Saccharomyces cerevisiae S288C: one gene and its partners. The gene in region 2 interacts genetically with the main gene of each other region. Each region holds a gene or a part of one and is shown on either strand. Other genes may lie near its edges. The genes, in order: STE50, ATG11, ATG1 and ATG17.

The links.
Region 1: mutations in ATG11 (region 2) and STE50 together harm fitness more than expected from each alone (negative genetic interaction), as found in Saccharomyces cerevisiae (2 studies listed by BioGRID).
Region 3: of ATG11 (region 2) and ATG1, changing one enhances a phenotype caused by changing the other (phenotypic enhancement), as found in Saccharomyces cerevisiae (2 studies listed by BioGRID).
Region 4: of ATG11 (region 2) and ATG17, changing one enhances a phenotype caused by changing the other (phenotypic enhancement), as found in Saccharomyces cerevisiae (5 studies listed by BioGRID).

What each region holds. Positions count from the first base shown.
Region 1 is NC_001135.5:60,761-67,139, reverse strand, and holds STE50 (Ste50p), read right to left. Parts: upstream 3,700-6,379; coding exon 2,659-3,699; downstream 1-2,658. Other genes in the region: HIS4 (trifunctional histidinol dehydrogenase/phosphoribosyl-AMP cyclohydrolase/phosphoribosyl-ATP diphosphatase), read left to right, coding at 1-1,206; RRP7 (Rrp7p), read left to right, coding at 1,572-2,465; MXR2 (peptide-methionine (R)-S-oxide reductase), read left to right, coding at 3,858-4,364; LSB5 (Lsb5p), read right to left, coding at 4,418-5,482; dithiol glutaredoxin GRX1, read left to right, coding at 5,967-6,299.
Region 2 is NC_001148.4:657,851-666,930, forward strand, and holds ATG11 (autophagy protein ATG11), read right to left. Parts: upstream 6,824-9,080; coding exon 3,287-6,823; downstream 1-3,286. Other genes in the region: MSF1 (phenylalanine--tRNA ligase), read left to right, coding at 1-1,088; TAH18 (NAPDH-dependent diflavin reductase), read left to right, coding at 1,332-3,203; peptide alpha-N-acetyltransferase MAK3, read left to right, coding at 7,110-7,640; NHP6A (high-mobility group nucleosome-binding protein), read right to left, coding at 7,843-8,124; YPR053C (uncharacterized protein), read right to left, coding at 7,938-8,393; mitogen-activated protein kinase SMK1, read left to right, coding at 8,430-9,080. UniProt on the Saccharomyces cerevisiae protein: Involved in cytoplasm to vacuole transport (Cvt), pexophagy, mitophagy and nucleophagy. Recruits mitochondria for their selective degradation via autophagy (mitophagy) during starvation, through its interaction with ATG32.
Region 3 is NC_001139.9:156,552-164,806, reverse strand, and holds ATG1 (serine/threonine protein kinase ATG1), read right to left. Parts: upstream 4,743-8,255; coding exon 2,049-4,742; downstream 1-2,048. Other genes in the region: serine/threonine protein kinase TOS3, read left to right, coding at 1-1,398; GTS1 (Gts1p), read right to left, coding at 5,711-6,901; MND1 (Mnd1p), read left to right, coding at 7,522-7,524, 7,608-8,255. UniProt on the Saccharomyces cerevisiae protein: Serine/threonine protein kinase involved in the cytoplasm to vacuole transport (Cvt) and found to be essential in autophagy, where it is required for the formation of autophagosomes.
Region 4 is NC_001144.5:970,106-976,640, reverse strand, and holds ATG17 (protein kinase regulatory subunit ATG17), read left to right. Parts: upstream 1-3,470; coding exon 3,471-4,724; downstream 4,725-6,535. Other genes in the region: mRNA splicing protein SPP382, read right to left, coding at 1,120-3,246; guanine nucleotide exchange factor DCK1, read right to left, coding at 4,946-6,535. UniProt on the Saccharomyces cerevisiae protein: Autophagy-specific protein that functions with ATG13, ATG29, and CIS1/ATG31 in response to autophagy-inducing signals as a scaffold to recruit other ATG proteins to organize pre-autophagosomal structure (PAS) formation.

The DNA of each region.
Region 1 (6,379 bases), on a different chromosome or scaffold from region 2:
GGTAACTCTGCCCTTTTGGAGTACACAGAAAAGTTTGATGGTGTAAAATTATCCAATCCTGTTCTTAATGCTCCATTCCCAGAAGAATACTTTGAAGGTTTAACCGAGGAAATGAAGGAAGCTTTGGACCTTTCAATTGAAAACGTCCGCAAATTCCATGCTGCTCAATTGCCAACAGAGACTCTTGAAGTTGAAACCCAACCTGGTGTCTTGTGTTCCAGATTCCCTCGTCCTATTGAAAAAGTTGGTTTGTATATCCCTGGTGGCACTGCCATTTTACCAAGTACTGCATTAATGCTTGGTGTTCCAGCACAAGTTGCCCAATGTAAGGAGATTGTGTTTGCATCTCCACCAAGAAAATCTGATGGTAAAGTTTCACCCGAAGTTGTTTATGTCGCAGAAAAAGTTGGCGCTTCCAAGATTGTTCTAGCTGGTGGTGCCCAAGCCGTTGCTGCTATGGCTTACGGGACAGAAACTATTCCTAAAGTGGATAAGATCTTGGGTCCAGGTAATCAATTTGTGACTGCCGCCAAAATGTATGTTCAAAATGACACTCAAGCTCTATGTTCCATTGATATGCCAGCTGGCCCAAGTGAAGTTTTGGTTATTGCCGATGAAGATGCCGATGTGGATTTTGTTGCAAGTGATTTGCTATCGCAAGCTGAACACGGTATTGACTCCCAAGTTATCCTTGTTGGTGTTAACTTGAGCGAAAAGAAAATTCAAGAGATTCAAGATGCTGTCCACAATCAAGCTTTACAACTGCCACGTGTGGATATTGTTCGTAAATGTATTGCTCACAGTACGATCGTTCTTTGTGACGGTTACGAAGAAGCCCTTGAAATGTCCAACCAATATGCACCAGAACATTTGATTCTACAAATCGCCAATGCTAACGATTATGTTAAATTGGTTGACAATGCAGGGTCCGTATTTGTGGGTGCTTACACTCCAGAATCGTGCGGTGACTATTCAAGTGGTACTAACCATACATTACCAACCTATGGTTACGCTAGGCAGTACAGTGGTGCCAACACTGCAACCTTCCAAAAGTTTATCACTGCCCAAAACATTACCCCTGAAGGTTTAGAAAACATCGGTAGAGCTGTTATGTGCGTTGCCAAGAAGGAGGGTCTAGACGGTCACAGAAACGCTGTGAAAATCAGAATGAGTAAGCTTGGGTTGATCCCAAAGGATTTCCAGTAGATTATTTCTAACTTGGAAACCGAACACTAACGAAAATAATATGTATATATACATATATATATCAAACAAAATACAGTCTTGAATGAATAGAGATACACTATGTAATGAATGGTAACGTAAAAATTGTAATTTTGGATTAAAAGAGAGGTAGTAGCAAGAGTGGGTATCAAATAGCGATTAATAAATGAATATCCTTATTGTCATCACTTCGAACGACGTAAGTTAAATTGGAAAATTTTTCACTTTTTGGTCACCTAAGAAATAAGCAGGAAAAAGAAGAGAACATTGAGAGGATGGTAAAGCAAGAGGCATTTAGGGCGAACGAACTAGGTAACAGATAACAACCTCAGATAGAGTGTTACGGGATGGGTATTGAAGACATTAGCGCCATGAAGAACGGGTTTATAGTGGTGCCGTTCAAATTACCGGATCACAAGGCACTACCCAAAAGCCAGGAAGCTTCGTTGCATTTCATGTTTGCTAAAAGACACCAGAGTTCAAATTCCAACGAGTCTGACTGTTTGTTTTTGGTCAACCTTCCATTATTATCTAACATAGAGCACATGAAGAAATTTGTCGGGCAGCTCTGTGGGAAATACGATACAGTATCGCATGTAGAGGAACTACTATATAACGATGAATTTGGATTACATGAAGTAGATTTATCGGCATTGACCTCCGATCTGATGTCCTCCACTGACGTCAACGAGAAGAGATACACACCAAGAAACACGGCGCTATTAAAATTTGTTGATGCTGCAAGTATAAATAACTGCTGGAATGCTTTGAAAAAATACTCGAATTTGCATGCCAAACATCCAAATGAACTATTTGAATGGACATATACGACTCCATCATTCACAACTTTTGTTAACTTCTACAAACCACTGGATATTGATTATTTGAAAGAAGATATTCATACACATATGGCAATTTTTGAACAGCGTGAAGCTCAAGCACAAGAGGATGTTCAAAGTTCTATAGTGGATGAGGATGGATTCACATTAGTTGTAGGAAAGAACACCAAGTCATTGAATTCCATAAGAAAGAAAATATTAAACAAAAATCCATTATCCAAACATGAAAATAAGGCCAAGCCAATTTCAAATATAGATAAAAAGGCAAAGAAAGATTTCTATAGATTTCAGGTCAGAGAACGTAAAAAACAGGAGATCAATCAACTGTTAAGTAAATTTAAGGAAGATCAAGAAAGAATCAAGGTAATGAAAGCTAAGAGAAAATTCAATCCATACACTTAAACCACCATCCTCGTCATCATATTCAACATATCTCAATATATCTATAAAACTAATAATATAATATAACATAATATAGTATAATAGTATAAGTTTAAAGGCATCAATAATTTTTTTCTTTCATATATATTCTGCTAGCATACATGTTATCCTATTCGTGTAAGTTTAGTATGATGATGTGCATGACAACTGCACATTAGAGTCTTCCACCGGGGGTGACATTGTCACTTCCGTTCATCATTGCTACTTCTTCGAAATCACCTCTTCTTCTTAACATAATGGCGGGGTGCAAACCCTGTTGCTTTAAGTTCTTGAATATGATCACAGGCTTTTCGTTCAATTCTAACAGCCTCTCTTGATCCCCATAGCAAATGACCAAGACATATTGTCTCCAATCCTGATCTGCTAAGTTATGTCTTTTCATTGCGTTTTTCAAGATCCGTTCGCAGGAGTCTTCTTTAGATGCACGCAACTGTTTTAACGCCTCGTTAGGTGATGGCCCCGGTGTGTTCGCTGTTGAAACGGCAGATGGGTGAGATTGGTTTGTAGATATTTGGGGTACTTTGTTTTTGCTATCCTTGTGCAAAGATTTTGAGTGGGAAAGACTGGGTTGCCTAAATACCGTTACCGGGGATTCTCTCCTTGACGGTGATTGTCGGTTATGAACTGTGTCGAAATAGTCTGTTTGTGAAAGAGACACACCGTCACTACTGGGTATAATTGTGTTGTTTGAAGAAGGTACCGTAGTGGACACTCCATGTGTGTTAATCGGAGAAGAGCTTGAGCTGGTCTTCATTACGTCCAAGACATCCATCCTCAGCCTTGTGTACTGCGATTGAAATTCTTGCAATTTCGCAGATGTAGTAGTGTACAAGTTTTTCAGTACCGTTATCATGTCCTCTTGAGTCTTGTCGTCCTTCCACTCCAACTTGCTGTCTCTCATCTTATTGATCAGTATCTTGAATTTTATGGCCTTATTCAAATCACCGTCACACAAGTCCTGGCAATCTTGCAAGCACAATTCCGGCAAAAGATCTCCTACAATATCATTTTCTCGCAGTCTCTGACATAATGGATCGGTTTCTTCCACCTCCAGCGTGGATATACACCAAGTTATCACATCATCAACCGACCACTGGGAAAAGTCTTCATTATTCATCAATATTGTGCCATTCACGTCCAGATCCGGCGAAGCATCGTTTGATCCCTCATTGATGGCCTGTTTACCGTCCTCCATCTGATTTGCTATCTCTGCTAGTACGACCTCTGTCTTTTCGAGTCCTTCGACCTAGCTTCTTTGTTATAATTAGCGATAGTATTTTTCAGCTTTGCCTATTGGGAAATATGTCGCCGATGATAGTTTAAATAAAGGGAGAAAGGAAGCAATATCAAAAAATGAATAAGTGGAGCAGGCTGTACGTTATAACTGTACGCAGGACTTTTCCAGGGAGAAGAAACATTGTACTGACGCAGTACTGGAATAAGAGCAAGAAAATGAGTGACGAATCGAATGACGTGAAGTGGAACGATGCCCTGACACCATTGCAGCTGATGGTGCTGAGAGATAAGGCCACTGAAAGGCCCAACACCGGTGCGTATTTACACACCAACGAGTCCGGTGTCTACCATTGTGCCAACTGCGACAGACCGTTGTATTCGAGCAAGGCCAAGTTCGACGCTCGTTGTGGATGGCCCGCATTCTACGAAGAGGTATCCCCTGGAGCCATCACATATCATCGTGACAATTCTTTAATGCCTGCGAGGGTGGAGATATGTTGTGCAAGGTGTGGTGGACACTTGGGACATGTGTTTGAAGGTGAAGGCTGGAAACAGTTGCTAAACTTGCCCAAGGACACCAGACACTGTGTGAACAGTGCGTCTTTAAACCTCAAGAAGGATTAAATGTACTATATATATATATATATATATGTGTGTATGCATACGTACATACTTCTTCAAATTTTGTTATGATCACCGAAAGGGTTTGAGATCGTGGACGGCTGATAAGAAGACAAGCTCTCTTCCTCTGAGGACTCGCTATCAATATACCTGCTGTTATCCTGCTCGTTTTCATCATAAATACCGTCATCGTACGAGCCGTGATCACTTTCATCGCTGCTATCGTCCTGAGCGCTTCGGTCGTCGTATGCAGTCAACGCAGCCACCAGTTCATCATTGGCATGAATTAAGCTACCCAGAAACTCACCCTCCGTGACCAATTGCAGATATCTAAGAACTTTCCTTCTGATCGCCCTTGCCTGGATGAACTTGGACGTGGCCTCTTCATCGTCTGTGGAGAACTTGCCCTTGGGCAGCCCGATCAGCGAGTTCTGTAACGACACAGCAGACGCGAGAGCATCGCTGATTATGAGCCGAATCCTGGGTGCCTCTTTGTTCATGTTGATCTGTGGAATCCTATACAATCTATCGGCACTAGTCAGCGAGTTGGACTGGTACAAAGTGTCGTCGGCGCTATCATCCATGAAGTTAGACCGTCCGCCAGAGCCTCCGCCGCTACGGCGGGAACGGCTGCTCTTCGAGTACCTCTGTTTGACTGTTTGACCCAATTGATAAAGACCTGAATACGCCCTCGCATTCTCAAGGTTGTTCTGCGTAATATAGTTTAGCCACGAGATAGCATACGCCGCGCACTTCTTAATAATCCTAGGCTCATACTTTTCACCGGACCCGCTGTTTTCAGAGTTCGTAGCCATCCCTCTCAGCCTTTGCAGCAGCTTGTCATCATTGTACATGACTGTAAACTTCACGCCTTGTGAGATGAACAGATCCAAGAGGTCCAGAGTCCTGGACTGCTGCAGCCGGTTCCCATACTTTATTTTCTTTCTAAGTGCTCGCGCAGCTTCTTCTTGGTTCACGGTATAGTTATAATCGTTGTGATCTGCTTTGATAAGCTGAATCAAGGGAGCTAACTCCACTTCTAGCGTATAGTCCCTTGAAGAGACAATTCGAAAGATCGTCTCGGTGATAGCTGTATGCGGATGATCCGAAAGAAACCCCATGTTCTTGTTTTGCCTGCCTCCAATGCTTTATCACTCTCTCACACTGTCACAATCGTGTTGTCTTCATCCTTAGAAAGGATACCACATTGATAAACAACATATATAAAGTTTAACTATTACCTTGATCACTTTACACGTCAAGGTCAAAACAGTTTCATAGTTATCACCTTGAAGTATGGCTCCATCATCTATAAAACATGAACTTCATGCACAAGTGAGCTGTCTACAGATAACGAGCAGCCGCAACGGCGTTTCCAGATTGCGATGCTTGTTTTCTTTATCTACTACTGCCTTACTACCCCCCTTGCGCCTCCTGATTCACGTGATGTGGGAATTTTGTCTTGAAAGGAGTAAATATATAAAATAAATGAAAAGTTTATATAATATAAAAAGGGACTTTAGCATAAAATAAAGAACTTCGTGCAGTACTTATACGAGCATTCGCATAATTATACAAATAGACAAAACCTCAGAAGGAAAAAAAATGGTATCTCAAGAAACTATCAAGCACGTCAAGGACCTTATTGCAGAAAACGAGATCTTCGTCGCATCCAAAACGTACTGTCCATACTGCCATGCAGCCCTAAACACGCTTTTTGAAAAGTTAAAGGTTCCCAGGTCCAAAGTTCTGGTTTTGCAATTGAATGACATGAAGGAAGGCGCAGACATTCAGGCTGCGTTATATGAGATTAATGGCCAAAGAACCGTGCCAAACATCTATATTAATGGTAAACATATTGGAGGCAACGACGACTTGCAGGAATTGAGGGAGACTGGTGAATTGGAGGAATTGTTAGAACCTATTCTTGCAAATTAAGGGCAGACAAAGTTTTTTCCATGCACACAGGTTTATAATGAGCTTATATATATGTATATGTATATGTATACAAGCATGTG
Region 2 (9,080 bases):
CAAAATCTGACACATATTATATAAATGAGACGCACCTACTGAGAACACATACTTCAGCCCACGAATTAGAGTGCTTTCAAAAAATAAGAAACGATTCAGATAATATTAAAAGTGGATTTTTAATATCTGCAGATGTGTACAGAAGAGATGAAATTGACAAAACTCACTATCCGGTATTCCACCAAATGGAAGGAGCCACAATTTGGAAACGAACGAAGGCTGATGTGGGCGTAAAGGAGCCAATGTATATCGAGAAAATCCGTGAAGATATCAGACAGGTAGAGAACCTTTTAAATAAAGAAAATGTAAAGATTACGGTTGACGATGATACTATACCTTTGAAAGAAAATAATCCTAAACAAGAGTATATGTCCGATCTGGAGGTTGATTTGTGCTCTCAACATTTGAAGAGGTCCATTGAACTGATAGTTTCTGAAGTTTTTAACAAAAAAATATCTAGCATGATCAAGAACAAAGCGAATAATACACCCAAAGAGCTAAAAGTCCGTTGGATTAACGCTTACTTCCCCTGGACCGCGCCCTCATGGGAAATAGAGGTTTGGTGGCAGGGCGAATGGCTCGAACTCTGCGGATGCGGATTGATTCGTCAAGATGTGCTACTAAGAGCCGGATATAAACCTTCTGAAACAATTGGGTGGGCTTTTGGCTTGGGTTTGGACCGCATTGCTATGCTTCTTTTTGAAATTCCAGATATTAGACTGCTTTGGAGTCGTGATGAAAGATTTTCAAGACAATTCTCCAAGGGATTAATTACTTCCTTCAAACCTTATTCAAAACACCCGGGATCATTTAGGGATGTTGCGTTTTGGTTACCAGAAGATAAACCAGATATTCATCAAGTTCATGAAAATGATTTGATGGAAATTATCAGAAATATAGCTGGCGATTTGGTAGAGAGTGTCAAGCTAGTCGATAGCTTTACGCATCCGAAAACTGGGAGAAAATCTATGTGCTACAGGATCAACTATCAATCAATGGACAGAAATTTGACAAACGCCGAAGTTAACACTTTGCAAGACATGGTGTGTTCTAAATTGGTAAAAGAATACAGCGTAGAACTCAGATAGGGATACGGACTCAAACTAGTTGCAGGTGTTTTACCGCAGCTGTATATATCTTGTAAATACTTTGTCAGGTTCTTTGTATCACTTCAATCTATGTTCATCTATCTATCTGTTTTTCTTAATTACTAAGCATTTGCGGCAATGCGATGACTACATAAAAAAAAAAAATTCGAAAAATTTCATGAGCCTTATTAACATGAAGATTCTAGTCAACAGTAGGCCATCTGTGTTTCCATTAATCGCTGCATGTCATCGAGCAAGAAAATCGTCATCCTCTATGGATCGGAGACAGGTAACGCGCATGATTTTGCTACAATCTTATCCCATCGACTACATCGCTGGCATTTCTCCCATACATTTTGCTCCATTGGTGATTATGACCCACAGGATATCTTGAAATGCAGGTACCTTTTTATTATATGCTCCACAACAGGCCAAGGTGAATTACCAAGGAATGTCAATGCATTAAAAGGTGAAAGACCCGTCACGTTCTGGTCGTTTTTAAAGAGAAAGAATCTTCCGTCGAATTTGCTCAACCATATTCAAACTGCCATGCTTGGACTTGGTGATTCATCTTATCCTAAGTTTAACTACGGCATTAGAAAGCTACATCAGCGCATTGTCACACAATTGGGTGCTAATGAATTATTCGATAGATTGGAGGCTGACGACCAGGCTATGGCTGGTAGCAATAAGGGTACAGGTCTCGGAATTGAATCAGTATATTTTGAATATGAAAAGAAAGTCCTAAGCTTTCTTTTAAGTAAGTACCCCAACAGAAAGGTCAATGGCCAAATAATTAAGAGGGAAGAATTGGACCCTGAGGTTTACCTAGAGCCAGCATCCTACCTACAGCTTTCAGACGAACATGCCAATGAAAAGTTCACTAGCACCAAGGTTATATTCGAAGGTGATGAATCGTTAAAGGTTGGCAGAGTTAATATAAACAAAAGGATTACATCTGAAGGTCATTTCCAAGACGTGAGGCAGTTCAAGTTTAGTAATGTGGACAAGATTCAAGAAAACTATGAACCCGGTGATACAGTAACCATATATCCTTGCAATACAGATGAGGATGTTTCAAGATTCCTAGCAAATCAAAGCCATTGGTTAGAAATTGCGGACAAACCATTGAATTTCACCAGTGGAGTTCCTAATGATCTTAAGGATGGTGGATTAGTTCGCCCGATGACTTTAAGGAACTTGTTGAAATATCACTGTGATTTCATGAGCATTCCTAGAACAAGTTTTTTCTTGAAGATTTGGACCTTTGCAACTGATGTAACTAAGATGGAACGTGGCCAAGAACAACTGAATGATCAAAGAGAAAAATTGCGCCAATTTGCTACTGATCAAGATATGCAGGACTTATATGACTACTGTAATAGACCCAGAAGGTCAATTCTTGAAGTACTGGAAGATTTTATCTCCGTAAAGTTGCCCTGGAAATATGTGCTAGATTACTTGCCCATCATTAAACCAAGGTACTACTCTATATCTAGCGGCCCTGGGGATCCTAATATTGAATTAACAGTTGCGATAGTAAAATATAAAACTATCTTAAGGAAAATTCGAAGAGGAATTTGCACTAACTACATTGCACGATTGCAAGAGGGGGAACAGATAAGGTATAAGTTACAAAATAATCACATAATCAAAAAGGAATTTTTGAATAAACCTATGATTCTTGTCGGACCGGGTGTCGGTCTAGCACCATTATTATCAGTGGTTAAAGCGGAGATATCTAAAGATATCAAACTCCTCTTCGGTTGTAGATATAAAGATAAAGATTATATTTATAAAGATATGCTGGAAGATTGGTTCCGTAAGGGCAAAATTGCCTTACATTCATCCTTTTCCAGAGATGAGGAAAATTCACCAGGTGTTAAATATGTCCAAGACTACTTATGGAGATTAGGTGAGGAAATAACTAATTTGGTAGTTAATAAAGACGCCGTTTTTTTCTTATGTGGCTCATCAGGTAAAATGCCTATCCAAGTCAGATTAACATTCATTGAAATGTTAAAAAAATGGGGCAATTTTAGTGATGAAGAAACTGCCAAAAAATACCTGAAAGAAATGGAAAAATCTGATAGATATATCCAGGAAACTTGGTAGTCGATAACAAGACTTATCGCATTATAATGTTAAATAGATACATAATTAAAATCTTGTCATTTGTGACAAACGTTTAGCACTGTTCAAACTCCCTGGTATGAAACCACAACCGCAGTGACCTGAAACCAAACTGAGCCCTTTGGTAGTCTAAATGGATTATTAGAGGGGCTATCTGCTACGAAATGTTCCAAAGTGACAATTCTGCCTACAAACCATTCTTTCCCCTTCGTCAATCCTTTTTCGTCCTTTAAAAAATATCTTGTGCTTTCTTCAAAAGCTGTAAATGCAGCCCAAGGCCTCATCAGTTTATTCTTGTCCCTGCCAGATATACTGGCTTGATTGATTACATTACTATGTATCACCGAGGGAGACGATTGTATAGACATAGCATCCAAAGGCGGTGGAGTTGATAAATCAACAGATGAAAATGATGAGCTCAATGATGAGGTGGAAGACGACATAGACCCGACAGAATTAACGTTTTCTCGTGTTGGCAAAAATAATGCTAAATCGCCAATTTGAAAGTTCCTCAAAGTCACCTTTTCCCTTTGGAATCTCTCCAATAGCGTTCTCTTGATCTTATTTTCTTTAGTTAATTTTTTGGCCAAGGTCTCAATATCCTTGAATCTCCTGATAACGGCAACTTCATAAAGCTTATTGTCATATAATTGAGTGATATTCCCCAGAAAAATGCTTTGCTGTGTATCCTTTTCAGATCCATTGGCAACTGACTTTATTAATTCATACTCATCTTTCAATTTCTGGAAAACCGGACTTTTTATTAGAGAATTATCATGTGCGTCCAGCATTTGTGTGCTTTCATCCAGTATATTACTTTGGGCGGTTCCCTTTTTCAATCCCTTGACTCGTCTAATTTGGATGTTATTATTATTGTCGAAGGTTAACAGCAACCCAATGTTCTCCAAAATGAAAATATTTGTCGATATTATATCAAATATTCTATCTTGCAGAGTCTGTGTGTATGCAGATATCTGGTTTTCCCTACCTGGGTCCTCAGCAAGAGGAATGGTTTCGAATTTCTCACCTTTTTCCATCGAGCTTGAGTTAGTCTCAGCGTAACTTTTCTCTGAAGTCACAATTTGTTTACCGAGCCTTTCAATATCAGCCTTCAACAAATTGACCTCTTGTTCATGCTTCTTATTAGATTCATCCAGATCCATTTGCAATCGTTCCCTCGATTTGCTAACATCATCATAGTCACCTGTTAGCTTTTCTATCTTTTCATTGTCTTGGCTAATTATATCATTCAATTGCTTTTTGAAAGAGGCATTGAGGGTAAAAATTTCAGTTCTATGCGATTGTTCTTCATTAGTTAACCTTGCCAATTCTTGATTCAAATTAGTCAAAGTTTCGCGATAAGCTGTCTTCTCCACCTCTAGATCACTTATTTTTTTCCCCATTTCCGAAATTTGCATTGATTTTCGATTATTTTCTTCTTTCAATAGTTGAAGTTGGTGTAATAGATCATCCACATTACTCTCTAACTCTTGAATTTGATGATTATTAGCTTGCGAAACACTATCAATGTTCACTTCAGAAATATTGGCAGGCTCTAGTAATACAGATGCTCCCAGGAATTTCTTCTTGTTTATACTCGTAGCAGAACCACGAAATGGCTTAAGATGGGTATTGAGAACACCTTGAGGCCAATGGCCTATGTCGGAATATTGAAACTCATGTAATAGCGATTCTAATTTTTTTATTCTTGTTTTGTATCCTTTGACTACATCATCACTTTTCAAGGCAATAGACCCTTCAGGGGAAATGCTATTGCCATTAGAACTATTATTGTTATTATTTTTGAAATTGGAATATATTATATGAAATCTCTTCGTCTCAAAAAGTGTTTTCGAAAGTAGATCAATGATCGGTTCAGAAACATCTGTTTCTTTAATTTGCGTCATATAATTATCAATGGCTTGCGATACTTTTACCAGGTCTTGGCGGTAATTTGCTATAGAATTCTCATTTTCATCTTCCTCATCTTCATTTGGTGGAGAAGTATGAGAGTGATATTCGTTTAGACGTTTGAAATCAGAGGAAGACAATAGATCTTCGCAAAAAACAGTCGCGATGGAACCGAAATTTTTAACCCATTTATTTCTTGTTCGTAATTCATTTTGTTTGAACAACTCTAAATCTTGATTAAAATTTGAGATAAATGACAAAATTTGTTGGAACCATGATAGCCTACGATATTTTTCGATTAAATAAAGCCCATATATCAGAGGCAAATCTTCTACCTGTGCAAATTCTACCTCATATTTCTTGTATAGCTCTAAATCTTTATTACATTCATTCAATAATAGTCTTTTAATACCTAGGATTTCCATCTGGGTGAATGCTATGTTACCCAAAATGGCTACTGCATGCTTTTGTAGACTTTTTTTTAAATCTATTAGTTCTCCTATTTGTGAATACAGCGCTTGTGATATAGTGAAGAGAGTTTTCACTGATTCTTTTTTATCCTTTTCCAACATCACATTCATGCTTTTCAAAAATTCTTGACTATTGAATTCTTCTTCTTCTTTATCAAGTACATTTCTGCTTCTTGTTCGCATTTCTGATACCAGTACCTCAAAGCTCTCTGCCATTTGGTCTTCAAGCTCGAATTTAGATTCATTCGGGGTAAACATTTGCCGCAGTCGATCGATGTTTACTGTTATAATATCTCTAAAACTTGCATTTTCGTCAATTTCCCTCTTAATTTTATTCAGCTTACCATTGATTGAATGATTTAGAATCTTTACAGATTTTTCGTTCTCCAGGAGAGATTCAATATTAATGAACTTTTGTAAAGAATCACCCTCTAAAGCAGTCAACTTACTCAAGGTGTCATTGAAGCATTTTTCCCATTTTGAAGTCATACCATTGTCTACCAGCTGATTTAAAAATTGAACGTTTGAGTTATACAAACTTTCTACATCAAAGCAGTACAGCTTCAAATATTGTGAGCAAACGGTTAAGCCATCAAAAATACGCTTAATATGGGCTATTATGTCTGGTATGAGGCTCTTAAAATAATGTACATCTATTTCTAAAGCGCTTAGCCAACCAAGGTTCGTCGTCAGTAAGCTAGTTACGGAATGGTAATTTAAACGCGAAAGATCTACGTCTGCGTCCTCCAAAGGCGAGGGCATAGGCTTGATCATAATAGTATCGCTACCTTGGTATTGAGATATATGACTATTCTTAATTAAATATTCCAGAGTCTCTGTCAAGTCGTTGGAATTAGGGGAGTTCATGGGATTAGAATCCTTAGACGTTAAAAGATTTGTTGGTGTCGGTTTACTAACAAGTGAGAATAGTCGTCTGTCGTAAACGTAAAAATCATTTAGAGTAAAAGACCTATTAATAAGCAGCTCTTTAAACATCGACGGTTTTAGTTTGTTACCATAAGGTAGTAGAATCAGCAGCTGATCGGGAGGAATCTTCCATTTCCTAGCAATGAACTGTTTAAATTTGTCCAGGGAAACGAAAAAATCAACATTCGTAGTTATACATTCTCCAGATATTGCATTTATGATAGTGGCTGTTGTCTGCAGTGGTGTTATTTCTTGCTGGGTAGGTGCAGTGCTATATTCATCAGCGTCTGCCATGATGTATAAAAGAAAATAAAAGAAGTACTTTCCGAACAACAACAGTACACTAAAATAATCGTTGTTCAAAGGAGGACTACTTTGGTTCTGATTTGAGAAAATGGTACTCAAATAAGGGCATCGCTATTATATAGTTCCATTCCTACCAAGAAACCGGGTAGCCAAAAGCGATAAAAAGGCTCTCCATGGCAAGCCTTATTAAAAATAATAATCATGAAGAACAAAGTTTCACAAGAGATTACAAGATAAAAAAGCCACTACTACAGAAAAGGCGTTGGGTCAGGACATGGAAATAGTGTACAAGCCATTGGACATACGTAACGAAGAGCAGTTTGCTAGTATTAAAAAACTAATAGATGCGGATCTATCAGAGCCGTACTCGATATACGTATATAGGTATTTCTTGAACCAATGGCCCGAGTTAACGTACATTGCCGTTGACAACAAGAGTGGAACGCCTAACATACCCATTGGTTGCATAGTGTGTAAGATGGACCCGCATAGAAACGTGAGACTGAGAGGATATATAGGAATGCTAGCCGTAGAGTCCACATACCGCGGGCATGGCATAGCAAAGAAACTAGTGGAAATTGCCATAGATAAAATGCAAAGGGAACATTGCGATGAGATCATGTTAGAAACAGAGGTGGAAAATTCGGCGGCTCTAAACTTATATGAAGGAATGGGTTTCATCAGAATGAAACGGATGTTCCGCTACTACTTGAATGAAGGGGACGCCTTTAAACTGATATTGCCGTTGACTGAAAAGAGCTGCACTCGGTCTACGTTCCTAATGCATGGCCGGCTGGCCACATAAAAGGAAAAACACTCGATGATGATAAAATATATATTAATAATACAATTTTTTTATTTATTTATTTAATCATATGTATAGATATAGAAAAAGGGCAGTAGAGAAAAGAGGAATAGAAAGGAGAGAGATAATAAAGCAAGTTTCAAAAAGAACAAGAGGAAAAGAAATTAAATCACACAGACAAAAACGCGGGGAGGAAGTATCCCTAAGCCAAAGTGGCGTTATATAACTCCTTTTCGGATTCATATCTCTTCTTATCGGCCTGGGCCTTGGCCTCGTAAGGCTGCTTTTCCTCTGGCGTTAGAGCCTTCCACTTCTCACCCAACTTCTTGCCGACTTGTCCAAATGTGATATCTGGATTTTCAGAACGAACAATATCTCTGTTTTCGTTAGCGAAAAACATGTAGGCGGACAAAGCCCTCTTAGGGGCATTTGGGTCCTTCTTCTTTCTAGTGGTTCTCTTCTTAGGTTCTCTTGGGGTGACCATTGCGACTGTGCTTTACTATGTATAGGGTAGTCAATTGAGCAAAAACAGGAAAAAAACACGTCCCAAAACAGTCCTTCTTTAACAGTCGGTACCAGTAATAAATACTGTGTTGTTTGTTTGCCCACCGCTAAATAAACGAACGGCGAAAAAAATAGGCGGCAAAAGGCGGGTGATTCGAAAAGTATCGCGCGCGACGAGGCGTGAGGGTAGAATTCGGCGCCACTAATTTGTGACACTTGAACAGTATTTAACGTCGTGCGATACATCATATCGATAGAAATGTAGACGTGCTCAACGCTCCAAGAATGAATTGCACACTTACAGATAATACCAGAGCCATAAATGTGGCCTCCAACCTCGGTGCTCCTCAACAGAGGACGATTTTTGCCAAGGAGAGAATATCCATCCCAGGATACTACGAGATAATCCAATTCCTGGGCAAGGGAGCCTATGGGACAGTGTGCTCAGTGAAGTTTAAGGGTCGAAGCCCAGCTGCTAGGATAGCGGTAAAGAAGATCAGCAACATCTTTAATAAGGAGATCCTTTTGAAAAGGGCCATCCGTGAGCTAAAATTCATGAACTTCTTCAAGGGCCATAAAAATATTGTAAATCTAATCGATCTAGAGATAGTGACCAGCTCGCCCTATGACGGACTGTATTGCTACCAGGAACTGATTGATTATGATTTGGCAAAAGTCATACATTCGTCCGTGCAGCTCTCGGAGTTTCATATCAAATACTTTCTTTACCAAATCCTGTGTGGGCTAAAGTACATACACAGTGCAGATGTCATCCACCGAGATTTGAAGCCTGGGAACATATTGTGCACATTGAATGGCTGTTTGAAGATCTGCGATTTTGGTCTCGCTAGGGGTATTCATGCCGGATTTTTCAAGTGTCATTCCACTGTGCAGCCCCATATAACCAACTACGTTGCTACAAGATGGTATAGGGCG
Region 3 (8,255 bases), on a different chromosome or scaffold from region 2:
GTAGAAAATCCAAGGGTTAATCAAGAAATTGAAGTAATGAAAAGATGTCATCATGAAAACGTTGTGGAATTGTATGAAATTTTGAATGACCCTGAGAGCACAAAGGTTTATCTTGTATTAGAATATTGCTCAAGGGGACCCGTTAAATGGTGTCCAGAAAACAAAATGGAGATAAAAGCAGTGGGACCATCAATACTCACTTTCCAACAGTCGAGGAAGGTAGTGTTGGATGTAGTATCGGGTCTGGAGTATTTACATTCCCAAGGGATAACGCATCGAGATATCAAACCATCGAACCTGTTAATTTCATCAAACGGAACGGTGAAAATATCCGATTTTGGCGTTGCTATGTCAACTGCCACCGGAAGTACTAATATACAATCATCGCATGAACAACTTTTAAAATCTAGAGCCTTAGGGACCCCTGCTTTTTTTGCACCTGAGCTTTGCTCCACTGAAAAAGAGTATTCCTGCTCATCTGCCATCGATATCTGGTCATTGGGGGTCACTATATACTGCTTGTTGTTTGGAAAGTTGCCTTTCAACGCCAATTCAGGATTAGAACTTTTCGACAGTATTATCAATAAACCCTTAGAATTTCCATCTTATGAGGAAATGTTGAATGGTGCCACTTCGGGAATCACAATGGAAGAATACACTGATGCCAAAGATTTATTGAAGAAGCTGTTACAAAAAGATCCTGACAAACGGATAAAACTAGCAGACATCAAGGTACATCCGTTTATGTGCCATTATGGTAAAAGCGATGCAGCATCCGTATTGACCAATTTGGAGACGTTTCATGAGTTGAAAGTTTCACCGCCCTCTTCATGCAAAAGGGTAGAATTGGTCAGCCTACCAGTGAATTCATCATTCGCCTCTTTAGATAGCGTTTATATGGAAAATTTTGACCACAATAACCTTAGGACTGGTGCTGACAGAAATTCAACATATTCTCCATCAATATACGACGCAAATACCTTATCACCCTCAGCATATCACAACATCGGTTCTAGAGAGTCATCCTATTCGTCCTTTTCCTCTTTCACATCATCCACCGCTTTTGCATCTCAGATCAGTATTCAGGATGCCCCAGCAATCGGTGATCAACAATGCTTGATAGGTGAGAGTGGAAGTTCATTAAGAGTGAATTCTTGTGAGTTTCCACAATATACAACTATGTCTCCTGTAGGAGAATATCCCTTTGAGAGTACGGAAGCAAGTTTGAGCTCTACTCTTACGCCTGTCGGTAATGTACCTCAACGTATAAAAGCCCACCTGGTAGAAGGGAAATCTAACAGCAAGGATGACCTTAGAATAGAAGCAGACGCATCACTTGTATTTGAGGCTAGCGACGCCCAGCGCACGAGAAGAAGAATGTCTCTTTATAAGCTTTAGCATGATATATGTAAATTATTTTAATAGATGTAATATATGATTAGAAACTTGATAGAAGGATCTAAGTTAATTGTCATGTCGGATCCTAATACCAATTCTTTTAATATTGTGTTTGTTTTTGAACGTTTATTATGACTTGTAAAATACTGTTTGTAACAACAAATTATAAAATGAATTTTAATGAACTCAACAAGTAAAAATAATAAAGATATTAATGACTTGTTAAAGCCTCCTCAATCAAATCATACATACATACATTTATATATATATATAGAACAAAAGGTTAAAGAATCAAATTTTGAAGAAATAAAAATTAGATTAAAAGGATATGTATAGCCAAAGGCAAGTACTAAACGCAACAAAAAAAAACTTAAAAAGAAAAAAACACACCGAAACCGAAGGAATTCAATAATTTCCTTAATTAACATTTAAACATCAAAATAAAACCCATCCAGGTATAAAAGAGCTGGATTTCAAGAAAAAAATCACGTAGAAATAAAAACAAAACAAAACACAAAGGGAAAATAAAATTTGAATACTTTAATGACGAACTCGTAAAGCATTTCGAGAGTAGCATAACATAATCATGAAGATACTTGAAAATATAGCAGGTCATTTGTACTTAATAAGAAAACCATATTATGCATCACTTAATTTTGGTGGTTCATCTTCTGCCTCAATATTTTCAACCTGTTTGCAATACTATCAATATACTTTCTTATGATTATTCTGTCATTTTCATCCAACACACTATGATACTTCTCTTTATCTTCAACGTCGTTACTTTTTAGATGTATGTTAGTTTTAAAAGGGTAGTCACCATAGGCATTCGTAAAATCATCATCGTCCAGAGAAGTTTCTAACATCCAAAGTGAAGTTGCATAAGCTAATTCACAGTTGTACAAATTTTCTCCTTTTAATTCCATATGTGCGGCCATCTTAGATATTTCTAATGCACGATCATATAATAGCTTTTCTAAATATACTGGCTCTTCCGAACTACCTTTTTCTTCCAAAGTTTGATTTTCAGCTACCTCAGAAGCATGCTTGAATCTCAAGTCGTTAATTTTTAATCTCAGGAAATCAGCTTTTTCTAAACATTCATTAAATTTTTCCCTTAGCCACTGTACCAACACGTTAACTCTTAGAGAACATGATTTTTCTTGAGATTCATACCACCAGTTGGACGTTACCTGCATAGATTTTGATAAAATGGATAATGCCTTCATATATAAGACAATGGCCTCATTACATAGAAGGATCATTTCCGAACGTGGTAGTTTATTGAAAGTTGCACTCAACTGAGATGTGGCAGATAAAGTTCTACCCTTTCCAAAAGTTTTCGTGGATAAGCAATCTTCCTTGTACTTTTTCAACGTTTCATCCTCTTCTTCTGCATCGTCTGAGTCTTGTTCTTCTGCAATAGCATTACTATCCATACTGCGCCTGTTCTCAAAGTTAGCCATGCCTTTTAATGTTGTTGATAATGGAACAATTTGAGAAAATTTCACTTCTGCATAAGAGTAAACAACAAATGCCTTTGCGGCCAGAGATTCCAAAATACTAACGATATTAGTATTATCTAATTTCAGTGTCTCTGGATGCTGTAGGTGATCTATTCTTAATATTATATTCTCAGTAAGTTCATGAAAAAGTTGGGAATTCAACAAAGTTTGACTGTACGGTGGGGAAGATGTGATTTGTTGCTGTTGCTGCTGTTGATTTGCACCACCAAACAATCTCGTTGATGCAATACCGAGGGCTCTTGATAATGCATTAGATGGATTCAGCGAGGATATAGACAAGCGTCTATCCACCAAAGATGGTCGCCTAGACCCATCACTACCTCCACTGGAAGATGATGTGGCCCTCAGTAACCTCGGATTTTCTCCTTGATTTTGAAAATACTGTTGATTGTTTGGAGAGAATTGCTCATTCAATAAGACGTTCTGATTTTGAGTTGAAGTTGGGTGCTTAATAGGATTTGGATTGAATCCTGCTTGAGCAACCTCGTCTGCCAATGAATTAACTTCAACCGATTTCTTCTCTACCACCACATATTCTCTTTCAAAGCTTCTATCTGAAACTAGGCTATTATGGTATTTATTATTTGAAGCCTTTTTATCTACGGCTTGTGTATGGTCTGTTTTAACGGCTGGGGCAGTTAATATATTGCTGTTCTTGAGGGCATCACTGAGCTCCGCGGGATTATCTGCCATTGATTGATGACCTGCAAGATTACTGTTCGGACTCTTTGGCTGTTTAGATAAATACTCAGAAACGAACATATTACTTTCTACAATACCTTTTGATTTGGATTCTAACTCAGGTAAATCATCTTCCAATTCATAAGAAGACAAGTCTTCGTTGACTACCTTGTTAGCAAAAAACTCCTCAAATCCTATTCTTTGGGCTGGATCAAATGTCAATAAACTACATATCAACTCTTTTAACTCTGGTTCAATATTGCAATATGAAGGAAACGTTATGACATCGTTTGCTCTTTTAATTTTCTTGAATAACTCCAAATGATTGGAAGCTCTAAACGGTGGGGTGCCACAGCACATTTCGAATACCACTGTACCGACAGACCACAGATCTGCTTTAGCGTTATATTTTTGATAATTCAAAATTTCTGGTGCCATATATAATGGTGAGCCACAAAGAGTTTCTGCTAATGACGTGTTTGGCAAAAATCTTGCAAACCCGAAATCTGCTATCTTTAAAATGGGTAAGTTGTAGATCCCAACAAATCCAAGTTCATGGAAGCTTTTTGAATCATGATATCCAATTAGGGGTGTAGATAATAGTAAGTTTTGAGGCTTGATGTCTCTATGAACCAAGTTTTTAGACCTCAAAAATTTCAAAGCGGACGCTAACTGCTGTAAATAACTCAAGACAAACGCTCTATGCAGGCCGTTATGGTTCTCACTCGGTGGAGGGTATTTTTCAAATACGGTCCTTAGTAGAGGATGATTCTCCATCAATTCTTTACGCCTTTTCAACAGAAATGTTAGGTCCCCAAGAGCACAGTACTCCATGATCAAATAAAAATCTGTTGATGTTCGTTCACAGTCAATAAGTCCGACGATATGAGGATGCTTGATTTTCTTCAAGATAGCGATTTCTATTTCCAAATTCTCTAGTAATTTCTTATTTTTTAATTTCGCCCTTGATACTTCCTTTATGGCTACATGCTGAGATTTGTCGGATGTCAGATGCCCTCTATATACAGTGGCAAACGAACCCTTTCCGATTTCTTTCTCAGCGGTGTAATTTCCTGCACTTGCCATTAGATTATGGTTCACAGAGGTTGTGTGATCTTTATTTTTAATGTCTCCCATTTTCTTAATTTCTCGTCTGGTGTTGTAAAAGAGATTTGAAAATATGGGGTAGCTTCAAATTCGTTTTGTGGAGATATCAATGATTATTCTCCTATCTCCTTTGCCTTATGTTTTTATTATATTATATGTTATTTTATTATGGGTACTATTACTACGATTGTATTATATCTTTTTATCTTCTATAGTACTGTTCTCTGTTTCCCCAGAAACTAAAAAGGGTAAAAGATGGCCTTGGTACTTAACTTAAAGGTGATGAAATGTGGCGTTCTAGAATTAACCTCGGCCTAAAAAATAAAAAGCTAAAAAAAAATAGTACGATCAGGAAGATATTAATAATATAAGCTCCTTTATGAGATGCTCGATTCCTTTTGTTGCCAACTAAATGACGCTTAGAATTCCATCGATTCCACGATCGATATAGTTACAAATCACAAACTGATGCTGATGGGGGAAATGGTTTAAGAAATCAGAGCCGAGCGGTTAAAAAGAAAAACAGATGCTTGAATACGAATGATATGCTTGCTTCTTTAACGGTATGGCTTTCCAGTAATAGTTACTCCGATAAGATTCATTACAGATACACGAAACGAACAAGGAAAAGATGATTAACGGGAAAAAAAGAGAGTTCCTTATCTCATTGATTTTAACTAGTGGGTTTTCCTTACATTACCGCCCAATCCCTTTTTTTTTTCTCGCTCTCACCGGCGGAGCGCGAGCGGAAAACGCCACCCAGGTGACTTTTGCGCTAAGTGTGGATCAAATACAGTGGTATTAGTCATTGATGTGCAGCGTAAAACGTCCGGAGCAGCTGTGTAATGCGGCTGTGTAGGGTGAATACAATAGAGAATATGACTAATTCTGGTATATAGTCGTTGTTTACAGATATCTTTCGTTACTTAGTGTCATTTAATTACTTAGTGTCACTCTATATGATATGTAATGCGGAGCAGCGGCAATGTATCTTATTTTTATTGTGTGTAGAAATAACCTTGTGGCAGGTTTCCTCCTTGCGACATTTGCTGAAAAGATAATGGCGCCTGTTGCTGTTGCTGCATCTGAAGCTGTTGCATCTGGATCTGCTGTGCTTGAGCCTGAGCCTGGGCCTGAGCCTGAGCCTGAGCCTGAACTTGAGCCTGTGCCTGTGCCTGTGCCTGAGCCTGAGCCTGTGCGACAGCAAGCTGTTGCTGTTGCTGTTGCTGCTGTTGCATAGCCATGGCGTATTGCTGCTGATCTACATATATCATTCCGGTAGCAGGATCGTAATACTGTTGAAGGGTACCATCGAAAACTGCTGGCTTTGCTTGTACAAAAGATGCTGAATTTGAAGTAAAATCTGGCGTGATTACATTTGTACCATCAAAAATAGCTGGCTGTGGGCCACTTGTTGTCGCACGTCTCCTGGGCAGGGGCGGAGTTGATGTTGTCGCTGCTGCCGATACACTATTTCTTGAACTTGAACTTTTTTCTAGATAATCGATTGCTCTATTGATATTTCCGTGAGCGGACGATAATGCATCTAAATTTTTGTTTGTATCACCGAAACCCATGTCCTTGAGTTCTGCCAGTTGCCTAGAATATCTGCTTCCACTGCTTTGGAATGAGTCCCTGGAACCGCCGTAGTCAGACCTATTATGGCCCCCTTTATAGAAAGAATGAGATCTGCTCCTGCTCCTACTTCTATTTCTTTCATCAAACCTGTCCGATTCCCCATCAAAATCATCCATTCTGGATCCAAAGTCTTCAGGCTTTATTTCATCATACCTGAATTTACCCAAAATATACTTGTCTCTAATGTAATGCTCCACGATGGCTTTGTCATCATCTCCATCAAAAGGAAAAGGGACATTTTTAGGATTCCAGAACCGAGCATTCCCCTTATTGCCTCCAAGACTCACTAATTCATCGATATCCTCTCTTGTCCATCTATCCATTGATAGTGATTTAACGTTAGAAAAGGCATCGTCGTCTCTGCTACCGAAAACTTTTCTATGAACAGAGGCACACCTACCACAAAGGAAAACCCCCAAATTAACTGAGCACCAAGTTGGGTAGAAATTACCACATTCACCGCATTTATTGGCATTCTCGGACGAATTAATCAACTCCTTTAATTCTCTGTCAACATGTTTTAAGCTATGGGAAGAACTCCTAAACCTCATTTTTGACTAAGTATAAATAAACTATAATCTGTGATTGACAGAACGCTGCCTCCATCTATATTAATGATTGATCAAGAGAAAATGTTCTTCTTCCACCCTTTTGTGAAGCATTTAGAGATCAACACTAACTTTCTTCAACTTACAATAATTTCCGGGTGCCCCCATTTATCGATTACCCGGATCCGCTTTGCATCATAGTGTGTCGTTGTCGAAACAAAAGCGCCGTATTATTTGGTCAACGTTTAATAAAGTAAAAGCAGCATTTGAGATGCTCTATACAACCTTCTTAATTGCAACCGACATAAAGGTATGTTTTTCTCTTCTTATTATGACAAGGGAAACTTGAAGAAGAATTCGTGTCTTGCCATAATTTCAGCATCATCGTCTCAACCTAAGCCTCTTCTCACGAAGGCACGCTCAAATATCTTTCTGGCTCTAAAAATCTTGAATAACGAACCGAATTTACCATCTTTCCTGCTTTTTTATGCGTCGAAAAAAAGTAAAATAACCGCCCAGATCACGAAATTGCATATAAAAGGCGATCTCCCGTCCCACCGTTATTCTTTGCGATATAGACTAAACGGCGGAAACTTTATGTGTAGTATCATAAACATTCAACAATGGTATGTCTAATAAAACCATCATGGTACACAGGACTGAACACTAACTTATAGACGGGTGCGTGCTACCCTCTTCTTATTATTAGGGGCCAAAGAGACAGACAGTATCACTCCAAGAGAAAAAGAACCGGATTCTGAACTTTTTTCAAGAGACGTACACATTCTACAACATCAAGGAATTAGAGAAAAGCATACCTAAAAAATGCGGAATCTCACCCATGATCGTTAAAGATTTAGTGCAACAAATGATTGATGAAGACGGCGTCATTTCGGTGGAAAAATGTGGTAATATTAACATCTACTGGTGCTTTAAAAATCAGACACTGCAAAAATTGTATGATTCAAGCGAGTTGATAAAAAAAAAGATACAGGAAGTAAAGTGTGATATTGCCACTTATAAACAAGAACTAGACAAAACGCTAGCAACTGGAAGGCGTAAAAAATTTACGGTAGGCCAAAAATCATACAATAGGGAGGCTCTACTGGAAAAGAGAAAAAAAATTCAGGATGAAATTAAGAAAAAGAGTAATAGTCTCCAAAAAATAGAAAGCATTAGATGGGATGCAGCAAAAATACAAGAGAATAAACAACAGATCCGCCTAAAAAAAGTGCATCTGGAGAAAACTACTGATAACATTGAGATTCTCATTGATTATTTATACAAGAAATTCTTTTTGAAGCCAGAACAGATAAGAAAAGAATTTGGAATTCCAGAAGAGTTCAAGGAATTTACG
Region 4 (6,535 bases), on a different chromosome or scaffold from region 2:
AACTATTAACTAACAAATGGATTCATTAGATCTATTACATTATGGGTGGTATGTTGGAATAAAAATCAACTATCATCTACTAACTAGTATTTACGTTACTAGTATATTATCATATACGGTGTTAGAAGATGACGCAAATGATGAGAAATAGTCATCTAAATTAGTGGAAGCTGAAACGCAAGGATTGATAATGTAATAGGATCAATGAATATTAACATATAAAATGATGATAATAATATTTATAGAATTGTGTAGAATTGCAGATTCCCTTTTATGGATTCCTAAATCCTCGAGGAGAACTTCTAGTATATCTACATACCTAATATTATAGCCTTAATCACAATGGAATCCCAACAATTACATCAAAATCCACATACTCTACAAATTTAAAGAAGTTTAACTCCAACAATAGCCGTTACTAACAAGAATCCCAAAAAGTATCAAATTATTCGCTGATTCTTCAAAACTATTTGAAAAAAAAAATCTCACATTTTTGATATTCCAACATAAGTAATTGAAGGTCAATGATAGAAGCTATCAATAATATTATATAATTTTTAACTCAGCAGATATCGGAAATAAAAGACTCCATGGCCAAGTTGGTTAAGGCGTGCGACTGTTAATCGCAAGATCGTGAGTTCAACCCTCACTGGGGTCGTTTATTTTTTTTGCATTAAATTATTTAGTGAGCTAAAAACTCCATTAAAATAGTAATCGTATAAACTAATATCAAGTGAAGCTGACTACTTGATTAGGCTCACTACTTAGCCACATTCGGGCTTTCTTCTGTCTTTCTTGGAAAATAACAGCTCCATTTGATCTTGATATAAAAAAGGTCCTTTGATCCCATCCGAAACTCGTTTCCTTCTGCCACAACTCTTAACAGTCTAACTACGAGAGTCTAGCGAAGTATAAAAGTTTAAACAATAAATTTTGGAAACATTTCAAGGGCAAAATACCAACAACTATCAAATAAGGGGAATTAATAGACTCCACTTTAAATTAATCCATTGTCTAAAAATGGTAATGCAATTATTATTTATTTAGTAATCTAATCAATTTTGTTTTTCGACAATAATATATAAATCGTGCCTATCTCACCTCTTTTATAGGTACTTTCTAGAGGTCAAGGGCCCATAAATAAATTGGCTTAAAGGTCCCACTGGAATCCTCCACCCAAAGAATATCATGTTTCAAAGCAACTTCCATTTTTTTCTTCCCGTTTCGGATCTCAAATAAAGGAACTATACAATCTTGGTCTCTTCCATATGGCAGTTGAGTGTACCTATTTGGTATTTTGCTGATCAAGTACCCTTTTTCCAGGCAGTAGTCTTCTACCACATCCTTGAAAGAGCTGCTAACTTTTCCAAGCGGAATATTTTGTACAGTATAGGTAGGTTCTTGTTCGCTTTGACTAATATCGTCGATCACTTGTGTTTCCATTAAGTTTCGTAAACCCTGTCTCAAATCGAAATCTTCATCTAATGTAGATTTATCAAGGTGGTACCTATGAGACATAGCGAATATATTATAGCTTTTTCTGATCTCCGATAGTTCTATTTCTGTTGGTAAAGAGTGCTCAAATACCGTATTCATCAGCCAATTAAGCCACCACTTTGACTTGTGTAAGTCTTCCACTGTACTATAAAGATGCCATTGATAGAGTATTTTGTTTATATTATTAAAGGTTCCCCGCATCATCAATTCATACTGTTTTGGATGAAAATAATGGGTATAACTTCTCAGTTTTTTCATAAAATAGAAAAATCCAGAATCTTTTTCTTTCCATTCCTGTTTTTCCTTCCAATCCTCTAACTCGTAGATGGGGTCATTATGTCTTTCCCACAGCTCGTCCAGGAATTTAGGAAGAAACTCTTTACATAAAATTTTGTAATATCTTCGTTCGCAGATAAGTTCTTTGATAAATATAATATCAGAATTAGTGATACAAAATGATTCCCTATGGTACCAATTTTTACAATAAGCAAAAAATTTTGCTTCAATCTTGTCCACAATTGTGTCTTTGATCTTATCGTCAATTAAAACCATAAAATCCAAGACCCATATTCTTGGCGAAACATGGTCTACTTCATCGTGAAGTTCCCAATTATCTAATTCCTGTAATAGCTTTGGATAGACGAATTCCTCCATGATATGCTCTTTACACCCGATAAAACTTAGCACTTGTTGGAAATCCAGTAATAGGGTGATAGCGCTGTCGATTTTTGATTTAGTCATATCAAACCCTTCCCAAAATTTTTTGAGTTTGGGATATATAACTTTAAAGATTGTTGTTTGTGTCCTGTTCAAAAATTTCGAAGTTGTATCCATTCTATATGCGAGTAGTTCTATAATTTGCGTTAACTCATCAAGTATATCGTTTGGCTTTTCTAAATGATCCAAATCAAATTCTATTAGTAATTCTTTTCTCAATAAGCAGGACGTTAGCCTATCTATGAGCTCGTCGTCGGACAATTTTAAAATAGCACCAATCTTATCATACAGGGAAACATGCTTGCTTTCGTCCCTCAAAGTAACCTCCAATTCAGAAAGAAGCCTCTCTTGTCCATAATATTCTTTGACTTGCACTTCTAACGGAGAGGTGCGCTGACGAATAGCTTCCAAACTTTTTTCAATACCCAGCAGCTCTTGCAATATCTCCACAACAACATCTTTTTTCGGCTTTGGTACTGCATTTAAAGGGTCTAATTCTTTTAGGATACTCTCTGGTAATTGTACCCCTGCTAACCTCAATTCTCTCAGTGTTCGCACTATAGTCATATCACCACTATCATTTAACAACGCTTCGCCTAAAACCTCCGTGGAGGTTTTATTGAATTTGACTTGTTCTATACCTTCAACCACCTCATCCTCAGAGCTCAAGTAATCCTCATTTTCACTGTGATAGTTACTGGAGTTGGTATTTGAAAACATTCCTAGACCTGCATTGTGCATAGGTCGGCTTTGGGTTTCTATTGGTGTAGTTATACCAGAACCATCCTTCCCAAGGCCTTTTCCCGCAACATATCCCATACTCGAAAGTAACTTCGCACCAATACCATATGTCTTCGTTAATTTTGAGATCGTTGGGGCATTGCCGCTACTAGTTTTCAAGGCATCATTAGTGTATGTCATGTCACTATTCATGCTTGAATTATTATCTTCCTCATCGCTATAATTATAGGAATCGATTCTTCTTTTTTTGAAAAAGAACTTTTTATCTGTGTTGGAGTCCGAATCCTCCATGTTTTGGCGTACTGAAGGCTTAAGTTCTTCGACCTCTCTCGGTTGTACTATTTCGAAATTTTGGATTTTTGTTATTGTTTTGACATAATGTAAATACTAGATGCGCGCTCTAAGGCCTCAGTATTAAAAATTGCAAGATATCCCTAACTTGATAATTATTTGAAAGTCGCATAACGTACGATAAATTCGATACTGCGAGGATATTATCAACGTATTTAACACCTATGAACGAAGCAGATGTTACAAAATTTGTTAATAATGCCAGGAAAACGCTGACCGATGCTCAACTTTTATGTTCAAGTGCTAATTTAAGGATTGTAGATATTAAGAAAAAATTGTCATCTTGGCAGTTGAGTATTTCAAAACTCAATTTTCTAATAGTTGGCTTGAGACAGCAAGGAAAGTTTCTTTACACTATTTTAAAGGAAGGCATTGGGACAAAGCTAATCCAGAAACAATGGAATCAAGCTGTCTTAGTGGTCTTAGTTGATGAGATGAAGTACTGGCAATATGAAATCACTTCTAAAGTACAAAGGTTGGATGGTATAGTAAATGAATTGAGCATATCAGAAAAAGATGATACCGATCCCTCTAAACTAGGAGATTACATCTCGAGAGACAACGTTAACTTATTGAATGACAAACTGAAAGAAGTGCCAGTAATTGAGCGTCAAATTGAAAACATTAAGCTTCAATACGAAAATATGGTCAGAAAAGTTAACAAAGAACTGATTGATACCAAGTTGACGGACGTAACTCAAAAATTCCAAAGTAAATTTGGTATAGATAACCTGATGGAAACAAATGTTGCAGAGCAGTTTAGCAGGGAACTAACGGACCTTGAAAAAGATTTAGCAGAGATAATGAATTCATTGACACAGCACTTTGATAAGACATTGCTGTTACAAGATAAAAAAATTGATAACGATGAACGTGAGGAGCTGTTTAAGGTGGTACAAGGCGACGACAAAGAACTATACAACATTTTCAAAACTCTGCATGAGGTAATTGATGACGTGGACAAAACAATTCTTAACTTGGGTCAATTTTTGCAGGCAAAAATAAAGGAAAAGACAGAACTACACAGCGAAGTTTCTGAAATAATAAACGATTTCAATAGAAATTTGGAATATCTATTAATCTTTAAAGATATTTCCAATCTGATTGATAGCTTCAAAAATTCCTGTACACAAGATATTCAAACAACTAAGGAACTTTGTGAATTTTATGATAATTTTGAAGAAAGCTACGGTAACTTAGTTCTAGAAGCAAAGAGGAGAAAGGATGTGGCAAACAGAATGAAAACTATATTGAAAGATTGTGAAAAGCAGTTGCAGAATTTAGATGCTCAGGACCAGGAAGAACGTCAGAATTTTATAGCGGAAAATGGAACTTATCTTCCTGAGACAATCTGGCCCGGTAAAATTGACGATTTTTCTTCCCTGTACACTTTAAATTACAACGTGAAGAATCCTTAGAAAAAAGGAAAAAAAGGATACGGTACAAAGATTCAATAATTGTATCAATATTTCGAAAAATACTTTATCAAAAAAGCAATACTTGAAGGAGAAAGGAAAAAATTCGCTGTCTTCTTCACTTTTACGACAAAGAAAAATGTGCCCTTTTCAACTAAAAGTCATGAATGAATAAATAAATGATTACATATGCGTATATTTTATAGTGAACAACTTCTGACATATTATCCCGAATGTGAGTAATCATGCTTGTGCTGTGAATCTGTGTTGGTGTTTGGCTGTGACCCTGCCAAAAAGGTGCTCGAAGTGCCGGAAACAATTCCACTTTTATCCAAACTGCTCGTAGTGGACGAGTGGGATAACGTTCTTGTTAAATATTTTCCAAAAAGTAAACTGTTTGGGCCAAATGAGTCGCTATGTTCTAATACAAATTGGCTATGATTGGACCCTGAGGTGTGATGATCCCTTCCAGAAAAGCTTGCCTTTTTATTGGGGTTCTTGTGCGAAATTATTCGAGCAGTAATCATGTTATTCCTGCTACGATTGGCCTCACTGAGAGTACGACTATATCTTTCTATCTCCTCAGCGAAATTTTCCTCAAAAAGACGCACTAGAAGATCATGTGATGGTTTTAGATCCTTTGATGGTAGTAGTTCTGCATGCAACGTTAGACAGCGACCTAATACTGCAACAAGCTCATCAAAAGCTAGCGTCAATCTTCCTAAATCATCAGTACTGAACTGCTTGGATGTGGAGGGTTCTAAAAAGGCCTTGTACTGTGATATGCCTCCATTAACTGGAGCTGATATTGTTCCCGTAATATTTGTAGAAAGCTCGGTAAATAAATCGTTCACATCACCGTGGTCCTTCAGAGTTTTATTGCACATGTTTTCAAGCCCATATAACTCCTGTATTTTAACTTGTAAGGAACGAATTGCATTTTCAAGTGGAGAAAGTTTGCTCTTCGTAACCTTTACAATTTCTGATCTATTCATTAGTGTTGGAAAAGTATTCATAGTATGATACGTATATTCCTCCACCCACAGGTCAGTGACTCCTTTTGCGCCTGGCAAACGTCGAGAATTACTGAAAGTCCTCAAATCTCTATTCTCAATGTACATCCGCACTTTGTTGTTAATTGAGCTTTTCTTGTCACTACTGTTGTAATTATCGGATATACTTAAGCACGGTTCGACGGAAGCTACATGAATGTATTTTCCCATTGGAGGATTCATCAATAACATATCCACTTCTTCTTGTGAGTGTACAATATTTGACCCATGATAGCTTCGTAGAAGCCTGTCATGCATAGACGTAATGTGTTCAAATGGGAGACCCTCAAAGACGAACGATTTATTTCTTAATGATTTTGGAAAACCAAATCCCATGAAAGAAACTTTAAAATACGTTGGAACCAGTCTATCAATGGACTGTAATCTGGTATAAATGCCTGCTATTTGGTCATGTACAAAGGCCAGCCCGTTTAAATCATAATTGATCTCATCGTAGGCTTTTATCAAGTCCTTGTATACCGCTAAAGCTTTTTCTGGTTTTTGGCCTCTCGAAAAGTTTCTTGCGGATTCCTTAAGAAGATATTCCTTCCTCTCAAATGAAGATTGCTCTGGCAATGGCGGGAAAGATATTGCTTCAAGAGTATCATTAGAATCCCAAGCGTACGTACCTGCCAAGAGTTCTAGACTCAAAGCTGCTTGAACAAAGTCTTTTTTCTGAATAAAGTGGATAAACAAATCATATATCATTTTATGAAACAACTCTGGCCTGTTTGCTTCTAGCAAGTACTCGAACATCTCTAT